Linked DNA regions of Arabidopsis thaliana. The protein of the gene in region 3 purifies or fractionates together with the protein of the main gene of each other region. This does not show direct contact. Each region holds a gene or a part of one and is shown on either strand. Other genes may lie near its edges.

Region 1 (6,298 bases), on a different chromosome or scaffold from region 3:
AGATCATTGTCATTTAAATAACATTATATATGGTGAAACTCTATCTCAAGGTTTTATCTGAATCCTTTTTCTGAAAACAGAGGAAAAAGATTTGTACTCTCTGAATTTGTATAACTAGGGGGATCTAAGACTCGTTTACCCATATCTGGAATCTAACTTTCTTCAATTGTGCTTGCTTTTGATCTTTGTTTTTGTTATATATGCTCTATAATAATCTTTATAAAGTGGTGTAGATAATCAGATTTTCACAGGTTGTGAATCAAAGTAAATTGGATGAATGATGCATAATGTTACTATTACAGGTGTATGAAGCAGCTTATTTTGGTCAAATGTAAAAAAAAAAAAAAGTGGTAAAAATAGTAGTCACGAGGAATGAGACTTGAGATTTTGAAAAATGGGCATAATCAGAAACTTGACTCGTCAGTTGATGGACGCCTCAAGAAGTACCTCAGACTATTAGCAAGGACCTACAAATACAAAATTTGATTTCATTTCAGTAAAAACATTTCAACTTATCAAAGAGAAAAGTCTAATTTCAGAATTTTAACCTGCTGGAGAGGCTTGATTAGGGCTTTGTTCCTGTAGCTTACATGAAACTTCACCTTAGCCAACAAACCCTTTTTGTTTCACATACAACAAGAAGAAGCAACATGAGAAACAGAGCGATATTATAGCGGAGGGTATATGTTTTAGACATTAAAAAACAGGATTATTAGATACCTCGGTGTCGAATTCTCCAGATTCAACAGCGACGCTGATATCTGAAATGATCTTCACCAGCTCAACTAATAGTCCAGGTCTATCCGCTGATTCTATGAAGAGTAAACTGCATCATCAACAAATAATTATGGATCAATGATCAGATCATATATCATAAGAATAAAAGCATTTGGATAAGGTTCTAGAGTTGAGATAAGGTATGGGTATACATTACCTGCGGTCTGGTCCATCATCTTCAATGGTTATATGTGTTGCTATGTCCACGTCAATCTGTCAACATCCCAATCCAAAATACAGAAGAAGGAAAATGAATTTTGAAGCTACTTTGAAGTTGCGTGGGTATTCCCTTCTTCATCAAAGTGATTAATACTATAATGAAGTTTAATACTTGTACTCTACATTGACCCGCCAAATCCAAATATGTTGATTATTAGTTAAGTCTTTGTTTTCTCTATTATTGTTTCTTATCTGTACGTGACCGAGGAAACGACAAGCAGTCTTGACCTTTATGTTCGAGGATGCTAACTACTTGAAGAATTAGTGCAATACAAAAGAAGTGGATAAGGTTATAAAAAGAGCATCACAGTTTAAGGTTTTTACCGGTTCAGTTGGAGGAAGAACACCAAAAGCTGCTCCCATTGCCAACTGAGAACTTGATTCCTGATCCAAATCATCGAGAAGCAATGTGTGAGTTAAAAAATTATGCAAGATATAGGAAAAATAGAAAGAGAGGATATTAGGATGTGAAGTAGTTACAGGATGAAACTCAAGCAGATTGTTTATGACTGTGAGACGAATGGCCTCAAGCAATTCAGGGTCTTCTACTTTTCTTCCACTATCTCTGTTGTAACAACAATTACAGTCAGCTCAAAACTCAATCTAAAGTCAACTATTTGACAGAGTCAATCGATTCAAAGCAACATTAACTATCTAAACGACTCTTGGAGCTCAAAATACTCTTTGATGATATGAAAAGACATACGCTCTAGTAATGGCAAATTTGTTGTGCTTGCCGGAAGAATCAAGGTAAACATTTGCCTTGACGACATTCAATCCCAAGTTTTTGAGCGCATTCATCTAGAAGGGCAAAGTTGATCAGATCAAGAAGCAGTCAAAAAAGCAGGAAAGGAAGTAAGAAGCTTTTGTGAATGTTGGTCGATTATGCAGAGCTAGCAACAAGTGAGTAAGAAGAAGGTATCCTTCCTTACAGTGTCAAGTAAAGCTCCAAGACGATCTCCGAATGTAACTTCAAGAACGGTTGCATCAGGGTCAGAATCTTGGTCGATTATAACAACTGGAGTTGGAACTTTATCAGAATCAGCAGCACTTCCTTCTTGCTTTCCATTCTTCAAAATCAAAAACAAAAACATATAAACTTTAAAAAGTCTATTCAAATTACTAGTGTCCTTGTGTAATCATTTCATTTTCATACCTCCACAGCAGTAGCATTTGATGCTCTAATCTTCAAAGTGGATAATCTGAAGAAAAAAAAAAAAAAGAATTGAATTGAAGTATTTGAATCCGTAGAAGATCAGCTCAAAACAATCTGTGCTTTGAATCGAATTCCAGCAAAAGATACGAATTTATAACCAGCAATAAAATCATTTGGACATTTTAAAAAGATTAGCAACTCGGAACACAAAATTCTGATAATCGTTAAAAAAAGGTATCAGATGCTTTTTAAGGATTTAGAGATCTGTGGAGAAAATTCACTACAAAAGAATTTGTTTCGGAAACAGTATTTACTTCATGAAACTCGAATCAGCACAAAACTAAGATCACAATCGAAAAAGCAATCCAAAAGAAGCTCGAATTCAAATTCTCAAGAAGGCATCAAGAGATAGCCAAAAAACAAAAACCTTAATCGCTCGAGATTGACAAGAGGTTTATCGACAAATCCAAACGTAACTGTCCTAGGAGGCAAGCAAAGAGCTCCACAATCGCGTCTTAAAGCAAGAGAGCTAGAAGCATCAGTGAAGCAAAGAGCAGAACCAGAAGCAGAGGCCATAGCCATCACTCAAAAATCGGAATTAAGAAGAATGAGGAAAACGTTAGAGAGGAGTAGTAGTAGTGATGACGAAGAAGAAGAAGAGCCTTTGGACAGGTCTCGTGTTATCCGCCATGAGAGGATAATAAAAAAGATGTGACACACACACACAAAAAAAAAATGCCCGTTTCGTCCTTCTTATTATCTTCAACGTTAGATCGCCATTTCTCTTGCTTTCCCTTTCCTTGCCTACTTTTACATTTTCTTTTTAAATTCCACCAAATATTGTCTTCTTTTAAAATTTAAAAAAGTACACAATTCGACAAATTCTTCACATTCCTATTGGCCCCGATTTTATCGGATGTGACATGCTATTGGTCAGTGTTTTACCGACTAGTTAAAACATTAGGTGGCGCTAAAACAAATAACTAGGTTAAATGGAACATGACGTCATCCTTTATAAGTAATGGCCTTTATGGCCCAAACTTTCATCTCAAACGCTTCAGCCCACTGTTTAATGGGCCTAACGCTAAAGTGATCATCATATCGAAAATTACAAGTTTGCCACTTTCTCGCTGCTTCATCCCTCTCGTTGGTTCGTCAGATTTGCGTCCAAATCCCTCCCTAAAACCTTGAGTCAGACTCAAGAGATACGAACCAGAGAAATGTGGAAGTACGGTTTAAGAATCGCCGCCGGGAATGCCAAATTGAATCGGAAGTCTTCGATTCTAAATAATACCGTTTGTCATTTCTCACCTCCGACTTCAGCCGCCGTGGGAACACTTTTCCCGAGTTTAGATCACGTTCATCGATGCTTTTCATCTTCGAAGAGCACGAAATCTTCAATCACCAAAACGAAGAAATCTGAAGGCAAAAAATCCAAACCTAAAGGCGGCGATCCTGGTGCCGCCGGAGCTGAGGAAGGAGAGTTTGGAGCCGCCGGTGGAGACGACCTTGAAGCGGGTCGTGCCAAGAGACTAGCTGATGATGAGAAGATTCCGTCTCTAGATGTTGGTCCTAATGGAAGGCCTCTCTTTACTCCCAAAGATACTACACTATCGCAGCTGACTCACAAGGATATTGGCTCCTACTTCAAATTCGAGTAATCTCAATTCTCTCTTTCCCTTATGTTTCTGTTTATCTATTTTTAGAATTTTGTATGAATCGTTTTGTGTGTGTTGATGTAATATATATATTGTGGGAATGATAGTGAGGCAGCACTGAAAGCAGTTCTGCCGGAAGGATTAGCTTCAGGAATTGAAGATGAGTTTAATGAATCATGGAGACCTGCATTGCTTGTCAGAAAAAGTTACTTGGCTCTGAGGGATAATTTTAGACGCATTGCTGATCCTCCCATGTGGCCAAGTGACAGTAAAGGTGTGTTCTTTGTTTCCGTTATGTTGATTTCTAAGTATCACGATTAGTGATCTCTTCTATGGTTAACAGTTTTGTGTGTTTTTATTTTCCTTTGAAACGAAAGCAGCCTAATTTGTTTGCTAAGTCTTGCTTGTCATATGCCCTTATCCGGGGATCTGTAATACCATAGGTATTTATAATCATTGCTTCCTCTTTCTTTCTGAAAAGGTGTCAAACTTCAGAAGCAGATTGTCTTGGATGGCCCTGTTAAGTGTGGAAAGAGTATTGCTCTGGCGATGCTTGTTCACTGGGCACGTGACGAAGGCTGGTTAGTTTTATATGCACCAAAAGGACGTGACTGGACTCACGGTGGCTACTTCTATAAGAATCCACATACAGGGTTTTGGGACACTCCTCTACAAGCTGAGAATATTCTCAAGGCAAGATTCCACATGCCTCCTCTTTTGGAATGGAATTCTTCCTATTTAACAGCATTTCTTAATAAACTTAACTTCTGTAGGATTTTGTCAAGTTCAATGAATCCCGCTTAAGAGAGTTACGGTGCAAAATCCATGATCCTATCGTGCTTGGAGAGGGTGCGGGTGTTGGATACTTGAAAGGAGCAGATGCTATGCCTATTCCCGAGGATTCAACTCTGTATGACCTTGTGCAAATGGGAATTAAGAGCACTCATGCAGCTGTTAATGTCGTTGTGCGACTTAGAAAAGAACTCTCAGTTGTAAAAGATGTACCAGTGTTGATTGTAATCGATCAAGTTAGTCCCCAGTTTTCCCCTTTATGATACCATATTTCGCCTTCTATTATTTTAAATCTCTCTCTTTTTCACTAGAGCTAATGCTGCTTGTTTCTTGTTGTTTACTTGTCTTTCAGTATAACAGTTGGTTTACATTCAGCGAGTTTGAAGAGCCCGTAACACCGCGTTCTTGCCGACCTATACATGCCAGAGAACTTACAACGGTGAATTTTTCTTCCAAATTGATTTATGATCCAGAAAACAAAAATCGCAATTAACTCAATTCTTTTGGCAGGTGAATGCTTTCAGAAGCATGATGCATGAAGATATGATGGTGGGTGCATTCTCACATTCAACAGCAGTAGGAAAACTACGCAAAGACTTGCCAGATGTTCCAGTTGATGCTCGTCAGCAATTCCCACGTTATTCTTTGGATGAAGCAGAAGCTGTCTGCTATTACTACCTTCGGTGAGTTAACATGAAACCAATTTTAATAGTACTCAGCTCTGTAATCCTCCTCTCAACTGATCAGACCCGTTTTTTAGTTATAGTTCATTATTGAGTCTATCTACTTGACATGTGTATGGGCCTAAACCGAATATCGATTTCACGAACGTTCAATATGGTATTGTTTCAGGCAAAGACTAGTTCGGCGTGAAGTATTCAACGAAGAAAACTGGAAGAAGATATACTATCTGGCAAATGGAAATGGAGCAGAGATGCGTTGGTTAGCCCCTTTCATGCGTTGAGGAACAATATACAAACAAACAAAATAGATTGTGATCTTGATTTGTCGCCTTTTCTGGTGTTTTAAGTTATCCCGTTAGTTTGGGAGAGAAACTCTTTTCATTGACCTTTCTGAATTAAAGGAAGATTTTTGTTGTTTGAGTTTGTAGTTTTAGGTTTCCTTGTTGTCTGTAAAACACTGGTTTTTGGACCTAAATTTCTTTCTAATAAAATCAGTGCCTCTCATTTATTATCGCTCGAGTTGATAACAATGTTATGCAAAAATAAAAAGTTGTGAAAGAGTGAAAGAATCACTCACAAAACAGGCAATTGATGGGAAGAAATTGCGGAACTGCATATTTATTGTGCGGAGTTATGATTACACCAAAACCATATAGCATAGAAGATAGCCAAATAGGTTTAAAAAGAACACCAAATTGATGTTTGTTTTCACAAAAAGGAAAAATTTAGACATAACATAACACATTGAGAAAAGTACACAAGTTCTATTGAAAAAGAATAGACATGAAGAGCTATACAAACCAAAAGGCGAAGAAGAAGAATGAGAAGAAAAAACAATTAGCTCATCTTAGGAAAATGAAACCACACCCTCCAAGCATCACCATCCTAACCGTAATAACTCGGAGACCCAAAAGAAAAATTTTAATGAGAATTAAAAGGAAAGAAAATAACACTACAACCACCACCAAACGAACCCACCAGCAAGATCACATTTTTTCCAGATTCATGAAAAA
Region 2 (5,740 bases), on a different chromosome or scaffold from region 3:
GGAACACGTCAATGATTTGACGTGACGCAGGGGTGATTAACGGAGAAATAAACGGAGTTGGTTTAACTATCTACAGTCAAACAAAGACTGAAAGACATTAATGCCCCTTCTTTCTCTTTCTTTTTTGGTATCTTTTTTTCTTTCTTCTTTTGCTTTTAAAGCAGAGAAGGCATAATAAAGGACCAAAACGCAGCGTTTTCTTCCGGAGATCAGTCGGTCGGAAAGCGGCTACCTTTTTGTCTGCCTAGAGAATTTGTTCGTTTCTTTCTTTTACTCTCTTCAGACAAAACCCACGAGATACAGAAAAAGAGGACAAGAGAGAATCGTCCATGGAAGAAGACACTGGTATCGACGAAGCTAAGACATACACGGTGGAGAAGAGCGAGAAAGTGGAGCCGGAGAAGGACGGACTGAGTCAATTCAGAGACGAGGAAAAATCACTTGGTGCGGATATGGAAGATTTACATGATGAGACTGTGCGAGAAACCCTAGGCAAGGATCAGGTTCAAGGTAACGGTTTATTCTGCGCAAAATTCTTTATTGGTTTTTATTTATTTATTCGAGACTTTATTTTTTGACGAAATGATGTTTGAGTTTACCAGGTGTTCGAGAAAATTCCTCTGTGGAACCAAATGTTGAAGATGTATTAGAAGTGAATGTGAGTTTGCTTCAGACTCTTCTGCTATTCATAAACTTTCTTAACACTTACAACTTTGATTCTCTCATTAACATTGATTGTGCTAGAACTTGTAAAGTTTAACTCATTTCAGTGTCTTCGATGTTACTCGTTCAGTGATTATACAATAACATGGGAATAGGATTAATCGTAATGGTTTTAACCTTTGGCCAAGTTCAATCTGTATCTGTATCAGTTTGATCTGTTACATTTTAGTGTGTCTGATTTCTTAGGCAATTCTGAGGACAAGAATCACTGTTATCAAGGCATGACATTTAACTGCTTTTTGTATCACATTGGCAGGAGACTGATAGCGTCAAGGAAACTGTTGTAAGTGCGATTGTGCCGGTTGATGAAGTGGAAGAGAATCGTCAGGTAGAAACATCTCCTTCTCTGGCTGCATCGTCAGACTCATTGACAGTGACGCCATGTCTATCTTTGGATCCTGCAACTGCTTCAACCGCACAAGATTTACCACTGGTTTCAGTTCCAACTAAACAAGAGCAAAGATCAGATTCGCCGGTGGTTAACAGATTGTCGGTTACTCCTGTTCCTAGGACACCGGCTCGTGATGGTTATAATTGGAGAAAATATGGACAGAAGCAGGTTAAGAGTCCCAAGGGCTCACGGAGTTACTACAGGTGTACATACACTGAATGTTGTGCTAAAAAAATTGAATGCTCCAATGATTCAGGCAATGTGGTAGAGATTGTTAACAAAGGTTTACATACTCATGAACCTCCCCGGAAGACTAGCTTCTCCCCGAGAGAGATTAGAGTTACAACAGCTATCCGGCCTGTTTCAGAGGATGATACAGTAGTAGAAGAGCTATCAATTGTTCCTAGCGGTTCAGATCCGTCTGCTTCTACTAAAGAATACATCTGTGAGTCGCAAACACTCGTTGACCGGAAAAGACACTGTGAGAACGAAGCTGTGGAGGAACCAGAGCCAAAACGAAGGCAAGTTTGTAGAATTTTGCATTTCGGTGCTTACTCTTCACTTTGAAAGATGAAATTAATAGACTTTCTTCTCTCTATTTTTCAGACTGAAAAAAGATAACTCACAGAGTTCAGATTCTGTCTCCAAACCTGGAAAGAAAAACAAATTCGTAGTACACGCAGCTGGTGATGTTGGTATCTGTGGTGATGGATACAGGTGGCGTAAATACGGGCAGAAAATGGTGAAAGGAAATCCTCATCCAAGGTCTAGAAAACTAAACGCATGACCCATCTCTTTATCCACATATGACATCTTCTAATACGCATGGTGATTGATTTGTTCTGTTTCAAACATTCAGGAACTACTACCGATGCACTTCAGCGGGATGTCCAGTTCGTAAACACATTGAGACAGCAGTCGAGAACACAAAAGCAGTAATAATCACATACAAAGGAGTACACAACCACGACATGCCGGTGCCTAAGAAACGCCATGGTCCTCCAAGCTCAATGCTCGTAGCTGCAGCCGCTCCAACATCAATGAGAACCAGGACAGACGATCAGGTGAACATTCCGACTTCAAGCCAGTGCTCGGTGGGGCGAGAAAGTGAGAAGCAGAGTAAAGAAGCATTGGACGTTGGTGGAGAGAAAGTGATGGAATCAGCTAGGACTTTGTTGAGCATTGGATTCGAAATCAAGCAATGCTGATTATATGTAGTTTATGAGTTTTATAGAGTTCATCGACTCAATTTTCGCCTCCTTGTTCTTGTTATATAATAATAATAAAAAACCCCATGAAGATTACCAACTAAATACGTTAACATTCGTCTGTGTAATGATGGTATATGTTTATTGTGATATTAAATCGCTAATTTTAGTGAATAGCCTCTGGTTCGTCTAGAGGGTCTTCTGAAACTTGAAAGGGACTAAAAGACGAGAACAAAAACCCTTTCTCTCTACTCTGTGTAAACCCTAGTGTGTTCGTGCTCTCCGATGGCGAGTCTTCGATGCTTTCGTGAGCTGAGCCGCCGCGCTACGACTGTTTTCTCCATCAACCAGACGCGATCGATCTCTTCATTTCATGGGATTGAGTTTTCCGGGACCAGCATTTCTCATGGGACCGTAATTCCGAATCGATCTCTCACTAGGAATTTGCCATGGTACAGTCATTGGTATCGCTCTCAAGATCGTTGTTTCTCTTCGAACACAAAGGATACTGATGAAGATGAAGAAAGCAGTGAAGGAGAGGATGATGATGAGGAGGAGGGGGAAGACTTTGAGGATTCGGCGGATATGGAAGTAGAAAGGGAATATTCACCGGCGGAGAAAGTGGAAGAGGCGGAGGAGATAGGGTACAAGGTGATGGGTCCTCTTAAACCTTCGGAGAGACTTTTCAAACCCTATGAACCAGTGTTTGCCATTGTTCAGGTCTCGTCTCTGTGCTATCTCAATTAATCCTTTAGTTTCATTTCTCACTCTCACTGATGCTGAGTGGTTATTTTTATCCTGTAGATTGGTTCGCATCAGTTTAAAGTTAGCAATGGGGACTCCATTTTCACCGAGAAGTTGAAATTCTGTGACATCAATGATAAGGTATGCTAGCTTCAAGCTCTTCTTCGTTAATCTTTGCTATTCTTCTCTCAAAGGGCTAGACTTTACCGTATCTCTCGTAAGAAGGACGAACCTTTGCATTTGTGTTTATGATTTATGATTGTTGCTAAAACCTTTCTCTTTATGTCCCTTTGCAGTTGGAACTAACCAAGGTTCTTCTATTGGGCTCGGCAAGCCAGACGATTATTGGTAGGCCTATTTTGCCAGATGCGACAGTTCATGCTGTAGTTGAAGAGCATGTAAGTGTCTCATTGACTTGCTTGGTGTTTTATAATACTAGTGAAGCTGTGCTTAAGAATAATTTACAATTGAAAAGAGGATAGATGAGAGTTTGCTTGCTGAATCCGGTGACTGAGAGAAACTAAATCAAACTGTCTGCTGATTAGTTTGTGAAAGTCTTGCAAGTCATTAGATTAGTGTTCATCTATCTCTACATCATCTGAATGTCTTGATTTAAGATGGGCTTGGAATGTAGAAGGATCTACTCATGTACCAGCATTACTCAACTAGTTTTTCCTTGATGCGTGACAGGCTTTGGATGAAAAAGTGCTCATTTTCAAAAAGAAACGAAGAAAGAATTATAGGAGAACGAGAGGACATCGACAGGTATACTTTATAACTCCTTGTTTAGATAGACAGTGTGTTTATTTCATCTTTGCCTTCTTCTAGTTCTTTCCACTGTGTTATGATTGTTGTTTTTGACCATTCAACACTTGTGTCCAGGAATTGACGAAGTTGAGAATAACCGATATACAAGGAATTGAAAAACCAGAACCGAAGATCGTCCATAAGCCTTCGAAAGAAGCTGTTACAGAACAGACGAAGGCTGAGCTAGTTGCTTAGAGATAAAATTTGCTTCTTTCTTTTTTGCTGATGCCGATACATTTGAAGTAAGTTAAATTATCACTTGCTGTTCACTAAGAACTAGATTTTAAAGTCGTTGAAATGATGAAAAGGCCTTCTTGGTAGTTAGTGGTAAGTAACTAGGCTCCTGAGATATGAAATGTGATTTGCCTTTCACTGTCTTGTTCTCCTTGCTCTTCATTTTGTATTTAAACTGGCTCATGCTTGTGGGAGCTGTTTGTTGCTTCTGTTTCAGAAATAAAGATTTGCGGAAACATCTCTCTCCTTATCTTCTCTATGCTTTGTACTTTGTACTGTACTACTGTGGTTTGGTTATGGTTTAATTTACTTCTTCATGCAAGTCTCGGTCACAGATATGAAACTGGTGGTAAATTGGTAATAACTGCAAGTCACATTACACTCAAAATCTCGATTTTTTCCACTATGACTCTTTAGATCAGGTGATTATTATTGTAACTATATATGGCAACCACTTCCTCATCAACAAATGATTCACAGAATTGATAGTACTTGGAACTGATTTATAATTTCTTTTATCAACATCGGAAAATCGTGTAAGAATGCCTTGAAATATTTGAATGTTTGTAAATAGTATCAAAACCATTGTTTGTATAAATATGTATAAAGAACTTAAACAAAAGCAATTTGGAGCCAAAGAGAATTATAAAGCTACACGAGTACGTAAGTCCATGGTTAAGATCGGGTCGGGTGGGGACGGGTTGGATAAAAGCAAACAATGAGTCAAGTAAAAGAAGAATCATCGTCAACAAGAGAGAGAGAGAGATAAGCACAAACGCGGCTTTTCTTCTCCTTATAAATAAGAGAAGCTCAGTGCGTTACTCAAATGGCCGTCACTTTGGTAACGTCCTTCGCTTCTTCGTCTTCTCGCTTCCATTTCCGCTCATTCTCCTCTTCTCCGTCGTCTCTCTCCTCTTGTTTCGTCCGATTCCAGTTCCCCTCTCGCCTTAGACTCGCTTTTGCCGTCACGCCTCTCTACTCTTCTTCTAGAGCCATGGCTCATACAATCTCACACGCTACTCTCGGCCTCACTCAGGCTAACTCCGTCGATCATCCTAAGGTTTGTTCCTGATCGCTTGCAGCATTATTCGATTTTGCTGTTATGTGTTTAAACTCGATACTAGTGAATGCTTTGTAGATTCGTCGCTTTACTGTTTCCGATTAAGATGATCCACTGATTTGCTGACTTCGATTATGGTCAAGTCTTGTCAGAGATTAGCTTTCGAGTTTGAATTTTTGTGGTTAATTGGATTCTGATTAGTCGAATTTGCTGTATCAGATCTCATTTTCGGGGAAGGAGATCGACGTGACGGAATGGAAAGGTGATATACTCGCTGTTGGAGTGACGGAGAAAGACATGGCTAAGGATGTGAACTCCAAGTTCGAAAACCCGATTCTGAAGAAGCTTGATGCTCACTTGGGTGGACTTTTAGCTGATGTCTCGTCTGAGGAAGATTTTTCTGGGAAACCTGGTCAGTCGACAGTTCTTAGGCTTCCGGGTCTTGGGTCTAAGCGAGTTGGTTTGATTGGTCTTGGAAAATCTGCTTCAACTCCTTCGGCTTTTCAGAGTCTCGGTGAGGCTGTTGCTGCAGCTGCTAAAGCTTCTCAAGCTAGCAGTGTTGCAGTTGTTCTC
Region 3 (5,648 bases):
TTTGTTATGTGATGGGAAATTTCTGCACATTAGATGTTGTGCTCATATTCTTAACATCATTGTCAAGAAAGGTTTAGAGTTAGCTAAGGATGTTTTACACAACATTCGAGAAAGTGTTTTATATGTTAAAGCATCTCCACAGAGGAAAGAGGCATTTGCAGCCTGTGTAGAGAGAGTGGGAATAAGGAGTGGGGCAGGGTTATCTCTTGATGTTCCAACCAGATAGAACTCTACATATGAAATGCTCGCTAGAGCATTGAAGTTTAGAAAAGCATTTGATAGCATGAAGGCTTTTGACACCAATTATAAGTCTTTACCATCAGATGATGAGTGGGATCGTGGTGAAAAGATTTGTGACTTGTTGAAGCCATTTAGTGTAATCACTACTTATATTTCAGGTTCCAAGTATCCGACATCGAATGTATACTTCACCCAAGTATGGAGGATTGAATTACTATTGAAGAAGTACGTCACTTGTGATGATGAGGATATAAAGCAAATGGCTATGGAAATGATATTGTCACTTTAAATGGGGTGGGTTTAATTGGGGTGGGTTAGCCCATATTAACATGACTACTCACTTATGTGGTTTGGGCATAAGTGATCTTATTTCTTTATAACAACATCACTGACTTGGTTTAATTCATGTGTAAAACCAGGAAGTCATCGACACATCTGGAGGGTAAAGTCTTATGATCACTATACCATTTATTCAATCATCGACCTTTGACATCTCATCTCCAGTTTTCAATTTAAACTTTACCCTTTTTTCCCAGCTGTGGCGCGAGTTTTGTGGTTGAGATTATCTCGGAACAGTTTGAGGGGAAGAGATTGCTCGAGAGGCACCGTATTGTGAACGCTGCTCTTGAAGAAGAGATGAAAGAAATCCATGCTCTCTCGATAACGAAAGCTCAAACTCCGCAACAATGGAAGCCAATATCACAAGACTCTGCAACAACTCCAACCACAGAGGCTTGAAGACAAAAGAACAACAAACATAGCTGAAAAGCTGTATTTTACTTTTACTTTGTTCCATGGTAGCTAATAAGCTTGAACTTTTATAAGCATCTACGGCGAAATAACTTATGAATTTGAATACATTACTGGCTGTTTATCATCTGCATAATCGAAATTCAACATCTTAACAGTCACAAACATTCTCTTTGAAAAAAACAGGAGCAAAGATCTTTACTCTTCCTTCTTCACCTTCTTCTTGGACTTTGCTGATCGTTCTGAAGAGCCTGAAACCGTACTTGTTGAGCTCCGATGTTTACCTGAGGAAGACTCTGAATTTTTTCTTTTTGGCGACTTTGGAGTCTCGGTGAAGCCAGAGAACATGCTCTTCTCTCTGCTGCTACGTGTGCCGCTTTTATGCCGGCTGCTTTGAGTAAGGTTAGATGATTTCTTAGAGGAATTCGTCACTGATCCGACAAGCTTCTGTTGTGTTCTAGCCTTCATTTTCTGAAGCAACTCGTTTGGTTCAGGGTAACGAACTAATGCAACTCGCCGAGTAATCTTCCCAACTATCATAAAACGAACAACAACAGAAGAATCATTATTAACGAAACAGGTGGTAAAACAAAACTGTGTAAACTGAACGACCAAAACCTAAACAAGACACAACTGTAAAGTAATGGGAATATACCAATCATTGATTCTTCAGAAGGTATAATCAACTCTGCACCAGCATCTTGAGAATGAAAGCTAGCAAGATCATACTTTGCACCTAAACAAAGGTGTAATGAGCCAGCTTTTGGAGATCAAAACTAAAATATTAAAGAGTATGAAAGAACACAAAACATAAACATACCATTTGAATCCTTGAATTCTCCAAATAACCCATCTTTGTCTGGCTCAATCTTAAGAGTGTTCTCTTCGATTTCTGGAAACTGCGATAAAGAAAAGTCATTTAGCTGTAGAACATTACATGAGGATCAAATTTGCAATAAAGAATCATTCTCTAAACATACTTGGCCTAAAGGGGCTTGGATAAGCCAAAACTCATCAGAACGCGTCAAATCAGTGTCATCTAGCTGCTCTGCGCCACTGACTATGAAATCTCCGGAAACTTTGAAATCGAAATCCATCTCTGCTCAAATCAGCTCTCGCGATTTCACAAAACCTGCAAAATCGAGAAAACAAGTGTTAAATATAGCGAGAGCTTTAACATATATAATAAACAAAGCTTTTGAACAAACTCAAACTCTGTCAAAATCGCAATTATAAATCTCTTCAAAAGACATAAATTAGTTAGAAAAATCAAGAAACTGGATGCAAATCGGAACGAGAAAGCTAAAGAGAAAGAAAGATGGCTTCGTCGGCGGCGGAAAAGAGAGAGAATCGTTACCGGAGAAATAGCAATTCGGCGATGACCTAAAACCCTTCCCAATTTATTTCTCTGTTTTATTTTATTTTGAAGTTCACTCAAAACGACATAGTTTAGTGAATTGGCGGGTGGAAAAGACATTTGGGCCATAATGGGCCTTTAAGTGACAGTACTGAAGAAGAAAGCAATGGTGATGGATGATTCAGTAGCTCTTCACTGAAATCTCATAAACCCTAAATCCCCAAAATGGAATAATCAAAATTTCATCAGGAGATCTCTAAAATCGAAATCTACTTGATCCCGCAACGAAGAAATGTTAAGAAGAAGACTCTTGTCGATCATATCAACATCACTCATCAATTCTTCGTTTCATCAAACCGCGAAACCCAGATTCATCATTTCTTCACCACTTCTTCAATGCCGTCCTTCTCCGATCTCTACTCAAATTCCGACCTCTACGAGCAGGGCTTTGTCGTTTCAAGGAATCAGGGCTTATAGTTTATTGAGCTTGAACGATCTGAGAGACAATGTGCCGAGAAAACTCAAGACGAGGAAAGGAAGAGGTATTGGGTCTGGTAAAGGTAAAACTGCTGGAAGAGGTCACAAGGGGCAAAAAGCGAGAGGAACGATGAAGTTTGGTTTCGAAGGTGGTCAGACTCCACTACGACGTCGTTTACCCAAACGTGGCTTCAAGAACAAATTTAAGCTCCATTTTCAGGTTCAAGCTTGTGCCTTTTAGTTCTGGGATTTTCATTTCTGAGGTCAAGTTTCGGATTTTGTAGCTTCCCTTGATTCGAAGGGTTAACATTTGTGATTGATTCCTTAGATTAGGTCGAATTTGAGAATCTAAATCAGATGGATCACTCTTGTTCTTCTTTCTGTATGCCATTATTGCTGTTCTTTAGCTGCTTGTGGTGAAGTAGGTTATACTGTGTGTGTAAGGATTTAGGATTTGACACTCTATTGATGCAGCGACTAAAGATGTTTATGATTGTTTTGTGATGCAGCCGGTTGGTCTAGGGAAGATTGCTAAACTCATAAACGCTGGGAAGATAGATTCTCATGAATTGATTACAATGAAAACGCTCAAGGTTCGGTCATACTTCACTCTTTGATTCAACGGTTTAAATTGAGTTTAGGATTCTTAATATGTCTGATTCTTACTGAACACATTAACGTCGGTTTGCAGGATGTGGGAGCCATAGGAAAGCAAATAGAAGATGGAGTAAGACTAATGGGTCGTGGTGCTGATGATATCAAATGGCCACTTCATTTCGAGGTTTATCATTTGCGTTATTAACTTTTGCTCTGTAGTCTCTAGAGCCGTTGCACCAGTCAATGTATTTGCTTAGTTAGATGTTCAGTTGATCGGTATGAGCGTGTTTATTACAGGTTTCGAGAGTGACGGTTAGGGCCAAAGAGGTGGTGGAAGCAGCAGGAGGATCAGTGAGAAGAGTGTATTACAACAAGTTGGGCTTAAGGGCATTGCTTAAACCGGAATGGTTTGAGAAGAAAGGAAGGTTATTGCCAAAAGCAGCGCGACCACCTCCTAAACAACAAGATAAGGTTGATAGCATTGGACGTCTTCCAGCTCCGAAAAAACCCATTCCCTTCTTTGCAGCTGAGGAGACCAAAGTTGAATCTCCTGTTGAATCATAATTTTGGGCTGCCATTTAACGTTTGATGTTTCTGTTTAAGTTGTTTGTGTTGTTTCTTGGTCAATGTTCACCACTAGAAAATTGAGAATGTCGGATTTTAATTTGACAAATAAGGTCTTTCTCGTTTTACTTTATCTGTAGTTGGCCACAACAAGTTATTCAACCATTTTCAGACTTGTTGTTTGGGATCAAGGCCTGTTCTTGTAGAAGGTTGAGAAAACCAGAGAACAATCACGTTAGATTTGAATTCATTATTATCCGGTTTGGTTGAGGCGTTGTTAATGTTAATGAGTTCAATGGTAACTTTGCTTTTTTTGACTAAAGATGCTAAAATCTGCAACTGCAAATATATAGGTTATGAGATTATGTCCCTTTTTTGCAGTGTTATTTTACCAAAACGATGTGCGAAATTTACCTAATTTATCGAAAAGGGGCTATGATTGTCTGAATTTGAACAACCGAACGTGATTAAAGAAGAAGAAGATAGATTTCGAGGTTTCAGAACTCATTACTCTTAACAAACATGTAATGATGAGTACTGTACTGTTAATTATAGCATTGATTATATTAAATAACTACGAAAAAAAAAGAGTACTCGATTGGTATTTTATTATCAAATAAATATGTAATTAGATCGGTTTATTTGTCTTTAAAAATGATCATTACGTATTTGTTTAAAATCAAGTGCAGTTCAATATCATACACTATATTTTAAAAATGTTTCTGTTTATCTTCTTCTATTGATCACACCTTTCTGATCTTATGTACCTATTGATGATCACCTTCCGGCATAAATGTCACGTTTAATGTCAAAATAAATTAAATGGCTATAGAATTAGATGCAACCTTGGTCCATCACATTGACAAATCACAATAGACATTTCAAAGACATTATTGGTTATCATTAAAACAAATCGATAGATCCCAAGAAAAAAGTCGATTATAAATCTCAAGACCATTCTACATCAGACTTTTTAGTTACACCATATATTTCAAACCTCTTTAAAGTTTAAAGATTTGATCTATTCTTTTACAAACACACATACAAATTAGTCCTTGTGATATAATATTCAAAGTCAATTTTCGAACTAATCATAAACTTTTTCAGATAGTTAAATTATTATTATAATAACAAGAACACGTGTATATCATGAGGATGATCGGCTCACACACTTTGATACGTGCAATATTACAAATTCGAGCTATCCAAAAAATAATACAACTTCCAATTACAATTTCATAATAATAAATCATATGTTTAGCCTTGTCGACATTAATCAAACAAAAATAACCATTTTCTTGGCATTACCAAAAAAAAATAAAATAAAAAACATTTACACCAACTTAAAACTCAAAAGCAAAGGGTAAAAGAGAGGAACCGGAATGAAAGAAACATATAACTAATTAAAAGAAAGAAAGAAAATAAAATTCAAGACCTTTCAAGCTTTTTCTCACGGAGAAGATCGATGCCAACTAAGTAAACCAATATCATTGTGTTTTCTGGAGGGACCAGAAGCTGGAACAGGGAAGTGACGTGGCAAGAACCCCAAGAACTGTTTAGTTGAAGAAGAAACGGCGTCGTTGTGCTTCTTGTGTGGTTTCGAGTTGAAGACGTTCGTGTTTGTTCTTGCTCCATTGCAGAAACCAAGAAGAAGAATGAGAAG
Region 4 (5,859 bases), on a different chromosome or scaffold from region 3:
ACAGGCCGGAGCACTGGCTTCTGAGTCGATCCAAATGAGCGGTGACTAAGCTTCGGATTCGGATTCTCTTTGCTGGATAATGATTTCTGAAGAGCGGGATTTGAATTTTTGCTTGAGATCGGAAGTGGAGTTACAGACCTCAATGGTTTTTTACCAGATGATGGATTTTCACCGGCGCCGGTGTTTATATCTTTTAGCCGGCGGCGATTCGTTGAAGCTGACATCTGCAAAATCGTAGGGTAAAATGATTTAGGATTTTGAAAAAAAAGTTTGGGGGAAAAATAAAAGCTTTTGATTTTTGAAGAAAAAGCACAAAACGATAAATGGAGGATATCACTACCGCAACTCCACAAGCCGACAAATTTATTAGAGTTTCAATTTCAAAATATTTGGGCGGGATTTCCAAAAAAAAAACTCAAAATTTTTGGAGATCGCGAATGTTCAAAAAGTCGATTGATTAACGAAACGCAGCGTTTAGGTAAATTTATTAAACACGTGATAGCAACAAATGCAGAACGCGACATTTTGAAACACGTGGCAGTGTAGAAATAGCGACACGAATTTTGTTAACTAAAACGCTGCGTTTTTAATAAAATATACAGTAACAGTTGAATAGTTGATTGCGACACGAAACGATGCGTTTAGGGTATGCTGTTTTTAAAACACGTGGCAGCAACAAATAAACCGAAACGCAGCGTTTTGAGGTGGTTATTAACGTGAAAGGTCTCGCCAGTTTTTGTGTTTCATGCATTAGTACACGAAACGTTGTCTTCTACTTCTCGGGGAAACGACACAACCGTAGATTTGATGTCTGAATCTGTGTATATATAACTTCTCCAATTAGAGACACTAACACAGAATTGATCACTACTCCTATCGAAAAGTAGACGAAAATGGCGAATGAGTATGGATTCGGGATGGGTTCGGTTTTGGCGATTGTTGTCGTTGCACTAATGTTACTGTTTGTTCCGTTGATGATGGGACCGGTGACTGCACCATCTCTTCCAATGATCTTGATGTTTCCGGTCGTATTGCTCTTTGTGTTTCTCTATCTCCATTTTACTTCCAAGTGATCAAACATCAAATCTCTTTCTATTATTATCGTGTAATATGCAGTACGTATTTATTTCGATAGTATTGCTCTTACGTTTTTGGTTATACATTTATAAAAACAAAAATTGTATTTGTTCTATTATATACAATATATCAATTGACTAACGCATGCGCAGTTGGTTTGGATCTCTATTGATTTGCAAGTAAATTTTTTGGATTTATCTTTCTTTCTCACTTCGTTTCTTACATTATTAGAGAATTTGACTTACATCGCGATGTATGTTTTACAAGCAAGTAGAATCGATGCCACTTTCCTTAGATATTAGCGTAGTAGACAATGTCAATGATCGAGAAATATACACAAAAGTACCTAACTTTTGTCAGCATGAACAGATTTGAATGATATTACGTAATTGTAGAGAAGAAACTTACCTTAAAATTAACACCTCTAAAAGGTAAGAATGTGTTAGTAGAAAATGGCTATTCATATTGTAAAATTAAAAGGCCGTATAATTAGTACAGAGGAATTCGACTTGGAAACAGAAAATTAGAGATTAAATAAAACACGAATTTTAAATAACGGAAATAAAACTTTAGTGTAAATTATCTATACCCATAATATATATAGTACCAGAATCTAAGTATAATAAAGTAAAAAAAGAAAAACTGAAGTAGCATCCTTGACCGTCACCACATCTTCCGCCGCTGGCTGCCTGGCTCCACCACCACCACTACTACATTCACCGGTTCATTGTCAATACCACCACCAACAGGTCCTTCTCCTCTATCACCACAGCAGCCAGGACCACCACAGCAGACACAAGAGAATATCATCTCATCTACCATTTTGCCCGCACAGCTCTCAATTAAAACTAACACAAAGGCCAAAACACATAGGACTATCATGGTAATATAAAAAGAGTTGTTCATGTTCTCTTTTGTGCAATAAGGAGCCAGGAAACATGTTCTTCTATTTATATAATTTGGTTTTATTGTAACACATTAGTTTCGGGTCAGCTAATGGCATGATTATCATATAGCCAAAATAGAACCTTCATTTTCCATTCACGTTGCGGGGAATATAGAACCACCAATATACCGAGGAGAAACTTCTGTATGCTCTTAAGAAATTTAGTGAAAGTTAGTATGGCTGAAGTTAAAAGAAGAAAACAAATAATATTTAGTATTATCAATTCATTTCTATACGTATATGTCATTTTAATTTGCCAAGCTCATATATAACACTGATTTGCAGCACAAAACGATAAATGATTTTTCGAGATCCGAAAATAGAAAGTGGTTTTTAGAACTTAAAGAGTGTTATGTCTACTTTGTCGCAAGTTATAGAGAATACTCAAGGGCAGCCTAATGAAGAAAGATTGGTTAACCAAATTAAAAGACATCCATAAGACCAAGTCCTATTTAAATTAAAAACCAGGACCATTTCTGGTAGATTCAAAGTATATCACAGTATTGAAGCAGGACAGGTACCAAACAAAACAAAAAAAAGTAGATAGATGAAACAACAACTTAAAAGAGAGATGTTCCCTTTCCCTTCTTGTCTCCACCGATCTCAAAGTGCTTGCACCTCTGCAAAAACCACACACAAAGTGTAAGAAACAGAACTGAGACTAAAGAGTGATTAACAAAGGTAAAGAATGTCGCAGACATTACCTTAATCGGGCGTTGCGAGAAATGCTTGCAGCTTTGGCATTGAAGCCTCAGCACAATCTTCTTAGTTGTCTTAGCCTGTTCCAAAGAAAGACAAATAATGAGCAAGGTCCAATTAACAAATCATTCCTATAAGACATATTTCACAGAGTCAATTCTGAAATCCTAAATTGGTTCTCACATAGAAGACAGTAATTAGAGATCAAGACAAGGAAAAGCGAGTATACCTTCTTGTGGAAGACGGGCTTGGTCTGACCTCCATAACCAGATTGTTTACGATCATAACGACGCTTTCCTTGGGCAGCAAGGCTATCTTTACCTTTCTTATACTGCGTCACCTTGTGCAAGGTATGCTTCTTGCACTCCTTGTTCTTGCAGTAAGTGTTCTTAGTTTTCGGAATGTTCACCTACAGAAAACCAAGTTTAAAACTACCACAAGATACAGTTTCAACAGCATACAGAATTAATTACGATCATAGAAGTGAATCTAAATACGCCCTTCAGAACAAACCCTAAAACTTGTTAATAAAATTTCCTGCTTCTCCTAAATCATTCAGAATTAATTGCTACCATACGATCTGACTACTCAACTAGTCAATATTGATAACCATTTTGTGAATCCTACAAGTCCCTGAAGTACAAATCCTTCTTAATTCTCCTAAAAATCAGAACAGAATTGCAGCAACACAAATGAAGATACATAACACTATATCATTTTGAATCTCTGGTAGATTGGAGCTAAAACTCTTCACAGAGACGAAGTGAACTGAATCTTCGAATTTACAACACAGAATGCAACATAACAGATTCTAAAAATCACAATTAGACTCTAATAATTCTCGATTTAAGATGCAAAATCAGAAATAAACAACTTAAAGAAGAAGAAAAATCACACAGCAGATCTATAATCAATAATCTCGTTCTTCAATAGTAACCAAGGAGAAATTTAGCAGAAATAAAGAAAGAGAAGAGAGTCACCATTTTCGCTCTTCGGTGAAGCTCGTGCCGTCGTCTTCCACTGCCGCAAAACCTTTAATAAAAACCTAAAGTAACAGAGCTTATAAGAGAGACATTTGAGAAAACCCTAATACTACAAACATTGGGCCTCTATAAACACAAAAAGCCCATTAACTTAATCAAAAAGTCAGGCCCATCTCACTTCCCTTTTTTAAAAGAAAGTAAATATATTCTAGTTGCCGAAAATAAAAATTGTTAATAATCAGTGGCCCGTGGACAAAAACTAGCCGTTTAGAGATACAACACAACGGTTATGTTTGTTTCTTTGTTTCAAACTTCAAACCTCGTGAATCACTCACAAACCCTAATCCCCTTTTTCATTTTCTCTCTCTCTAACGCTCTCTGAATCTCAATTTCAATTTCACTCTTTCGAAACTTCTTCAACAATGGCACCGACACCATCTTCTTCAAGATCAAATCAAACTCAATACACCTTAATCAGAACTCCACAAACAAAACAACGTCTCAATTTCCACTCAAAAACCCCAAACCCAGACGGATCTAAAGATCCATCTCCACCGGAGCATCCAGTTGAAGTAATCGGCCGGATCCGAGATTACCCTGACCGGAAAGAGAAATCACCTTCGATCTTACAAGTCAACACAGATAATCAAACGGTACGAGTCAGAGCTGATGTTGGGTACAGAGACTTCACACTCGACGGTGTTTCTTTCTCGGAGCAAGAAGGTCTTGAAGAGTTCTACAAGAAGTTTATAGAAGAGAGGATTAAAGGAGTGAAAGTTGGGAATAAATGCACGATTATGATGTATGGACCTACTGGTGCTGGAAAGAGTCATACTATGTTTGGTTGTGGGAAAGAGCCTGGGATTGTGTATCGTTCTTTGAGAGATATATTGGGAGATTCTGATCAAGATGGTGTTACTTTTGTTCAAGTTACTGTTCTTGAGGTTTATAATGAGGAGATTTATGATCTTCTTTCGACTAATAGTAGTAACAATTTAGGTATTGGTTGGCCTAAAGGAGCAAGCACTAAGGTAAAGTTTCTTGATTGATAACTTTAGTATACATTGAATTGGCTTTAAAGGTGTGTACTTTGTTGTTTTGTTACAGGTGAGGCTTGAAGTAATGGGGAAAAAGGCGAAAAACGCAAGTTTTATTTCTGGGACAGAGGCTGGGAAGATTTCTAAAGAAATTGTCAAAGTGGAGAAACGGAGAATTGTGAAGAGTACACTTTGTAACGAAAGAAGTTCTCGGAGTCACTGCATTGTAAGAACGATCTTCTTGATTGATGTGTATGCATAGCTTTATGCAGCTTATCTCTGTTTTAACTTACTAGTGTGGTTGTTTCTTTTTGTAGATCATACTTGATGTGCCAACTGTTGGGGGAAGATTGATGCTTGTTGACATGGCTGGTTCTGAAAATATAGACCAAGCTGGGCAGACTGGATTTGAAGCTAAGATGCAAGTAATGTTTCCTCTCTCAATTTGTTTGATTCTACTAAAGTTATTGTAGTTATGGATATCAACTGACTTATATCTCTCATTATTCAACAGACTGCTAAGATCAACCAGGGAAATATTGCACTGAAGCGAGTTGTGGAATCTATAGCAAATGGAGATTCTCATGTACCCTTTAGAGACAGCAAGCTGACCATGCTTCTCCAGGTGAAATTCTTGTTCCATTGTTTTATCTTCTGGAAAATGTTTTACGTGTTGCTTGGTTTTCTTGAAGATATTTAGTGTTGTTTCTATTCTCTGAATGCAGGACTCTTTTGAAGATGACAAGTCAAAGATTCTAATGATCCTGTGTGCGAGCCCGGATCCAAAGGAAATGCACAAGACTCTCTGTACTCTAGAGTATGGGGCAAAAGCAAAGTGCATAGTTCGTGGGTCTCATACTCCAAACAAAGATAAGTATGGGGGTGATGAGTCTGCTTCTGCTGTGATTTTGGGATCAAGAATAGCTGCCATGGATGAGTTCATTATCAAACTCCAGTCTGAGAAGAAGCAAAAAGAAAAAGAAAGGAATGAGGCACAAAAGCAGCTGAAGAAGAAGGAAGAGGAAGTTGCTGCTTTAAGATCTCTTTTAACACAGAGGGAAGCTTGTGCTACCAATGAAGAGGAGATAAAAGAGAAAGTAAACGAGAGAACCCAGCT

What was found.
Region 1: the proteins of AT5G64670 (region 3) and AT1G16870 fractionate together in Arabidopsis thaliana (co-fractionation; one large-scale study listed by BioGRID). This does not show direct contact.
Region 2: the proteins of AT5G64670 (region 3) and NFD1 fractionate together in Arabidopsis thaliana (co-fractionation; one large-scale study listed by BioGRID). This does not show direct contact.
Region 4: the proteins of AT5G64670 (region 3) and AT4G14320 fractionate together in Arabidopsis thaliana (co-fractionation; one large-scale study listed by BioGRID). This does not show direct contact.

The regions. Positions count from the first base shown.
Region 1 is NC_003070.9:5,770,232-5,776,529, reverse strand, and holds AT1G16870 (mitochondrial 28S ribosomal protein S29-like protein), read left to right. Parts: upstream 1-3,207; 5' UTR 3,208-3,372; coding exon 3,373-3,809; intron 3,810-3,917; coding exon 3,918-4,084; intron 4,085-4,291; coding exon 4,292-4,503; intron 4,504-4,583; coding exon 4,584-4,838; intron 4,839-4,954; coding exon 4,955-5,041; intron 5,042-5,112; coding exon 5,113-5,285; intron 5,286-5,454; coding exon 5,455-5,566; 3' UTR 5,567-5,798; downstream 5,799-6,298. Other genes in the region: ACR11 (uridylyltransferase-like protein), read right to left, coding at 405-467, 549-617, 721-826, 935-990, 1,321-1,380, 1,477-1,561, 1,703-1,797, 1,929-2,066 and 2 more.
Region 2 is NC_003075.7:15,048,498-15,054,237, reverse strand, and holds NFD1 (Ribosomal protein L21), read left to right. Parts: upstream 1-2,486; 5' UTR 2,487-2,607; coding exon 2,608-3,042; intron 3,043-3,126; coding exon 3,127-3,207; intron 3,208-3,362; coding exon 3,363-3,464; intron 3,465-3,756; coding exon 3,757-3,831; intron 3,832-3,948; coding exon 3,949-4,068; 3' UTR 4,069-4,427; downstream 4,428-5,740. Other genes in the region: WRKY32 (WRKY DNA-binding protein 32), read left to right, coding at 330-510, 603-658, 980-1,635, 1,721-1,879, 1,974-2,322; LAP2 (Cytosol aminopeptidase family protein), read left to right, coding at 4,934-5,167, 5,387-5,740. UniProt on the Arabidopsis thaliana protein: This protein binds to 23S ribosomal RNA in the presence of protein L20.
Region 3 is NC_003076.8:25,850,872-25,856,519, reverse strand, and holds AT5G64670 (Ribosomal protein L18e/L15 superfamily protein), read left to right. Parts: upstream 1-2,452; 5' UTR 2,453-2,639; coding exon 2,640-3,044; intron 3,045-3,333; coding exon 3,334-3,417; intron 3,418-3,515; coding exon 3,516-3,605; intron 3,606-3,718; coding exon 3,719-3,985; 3' UTR 3,986-4,279; downstream 4,280-5,648. Other genes in the region: AT5G64680 (mediator-associated protein), read right to left, coding at 1,189-1,523, 1,646-1,750, 1,811-1,889, 1,971-2,087; IDL2 (inflorescence deficient in abscission (IDA)-like 2), read right to left, coding at 5,436-5,648.
Region 4 is NC_003075.7:8,240,101-8,245,959, forward strand, and holds AT4G14320 (Zinc-binding ribosomal protein family protein), read right to left. Parts: upstream 3,811-5,859; 5' UTR 3,706-3,810; coding exon 3,703-3,705; intron 3,132-3,702; coding exon 2,952-3,131; intron 2,803-2,951; coding exon 2,728-2,802; intron 2,644-2,727; coding exon 2,622-2,643; coding exon of another isoform or gene 2,584-2,621; exon of another isoform or gene 2,330-2,583; intron 1,926-2,329; coding exon 1,741-1,925; 3' UTR 1,632-1,740; downstream 1-1,631. Other genes in the region: AT4G14310 (Transducin/WD40 repeat-like superfamily protein), read right to left, coding at 1-224; AT4G14315 (uncharacterized protein), read left to right, coding at 894-1,073; AT4G14330 (P-loop containing nucleoside triphosphate hydrolases superfamily protein), read left to right, coding at 4,128-4,736, 4,813-4,968, 5,060-5,167, 5,257-5,367, 5,468-5,859.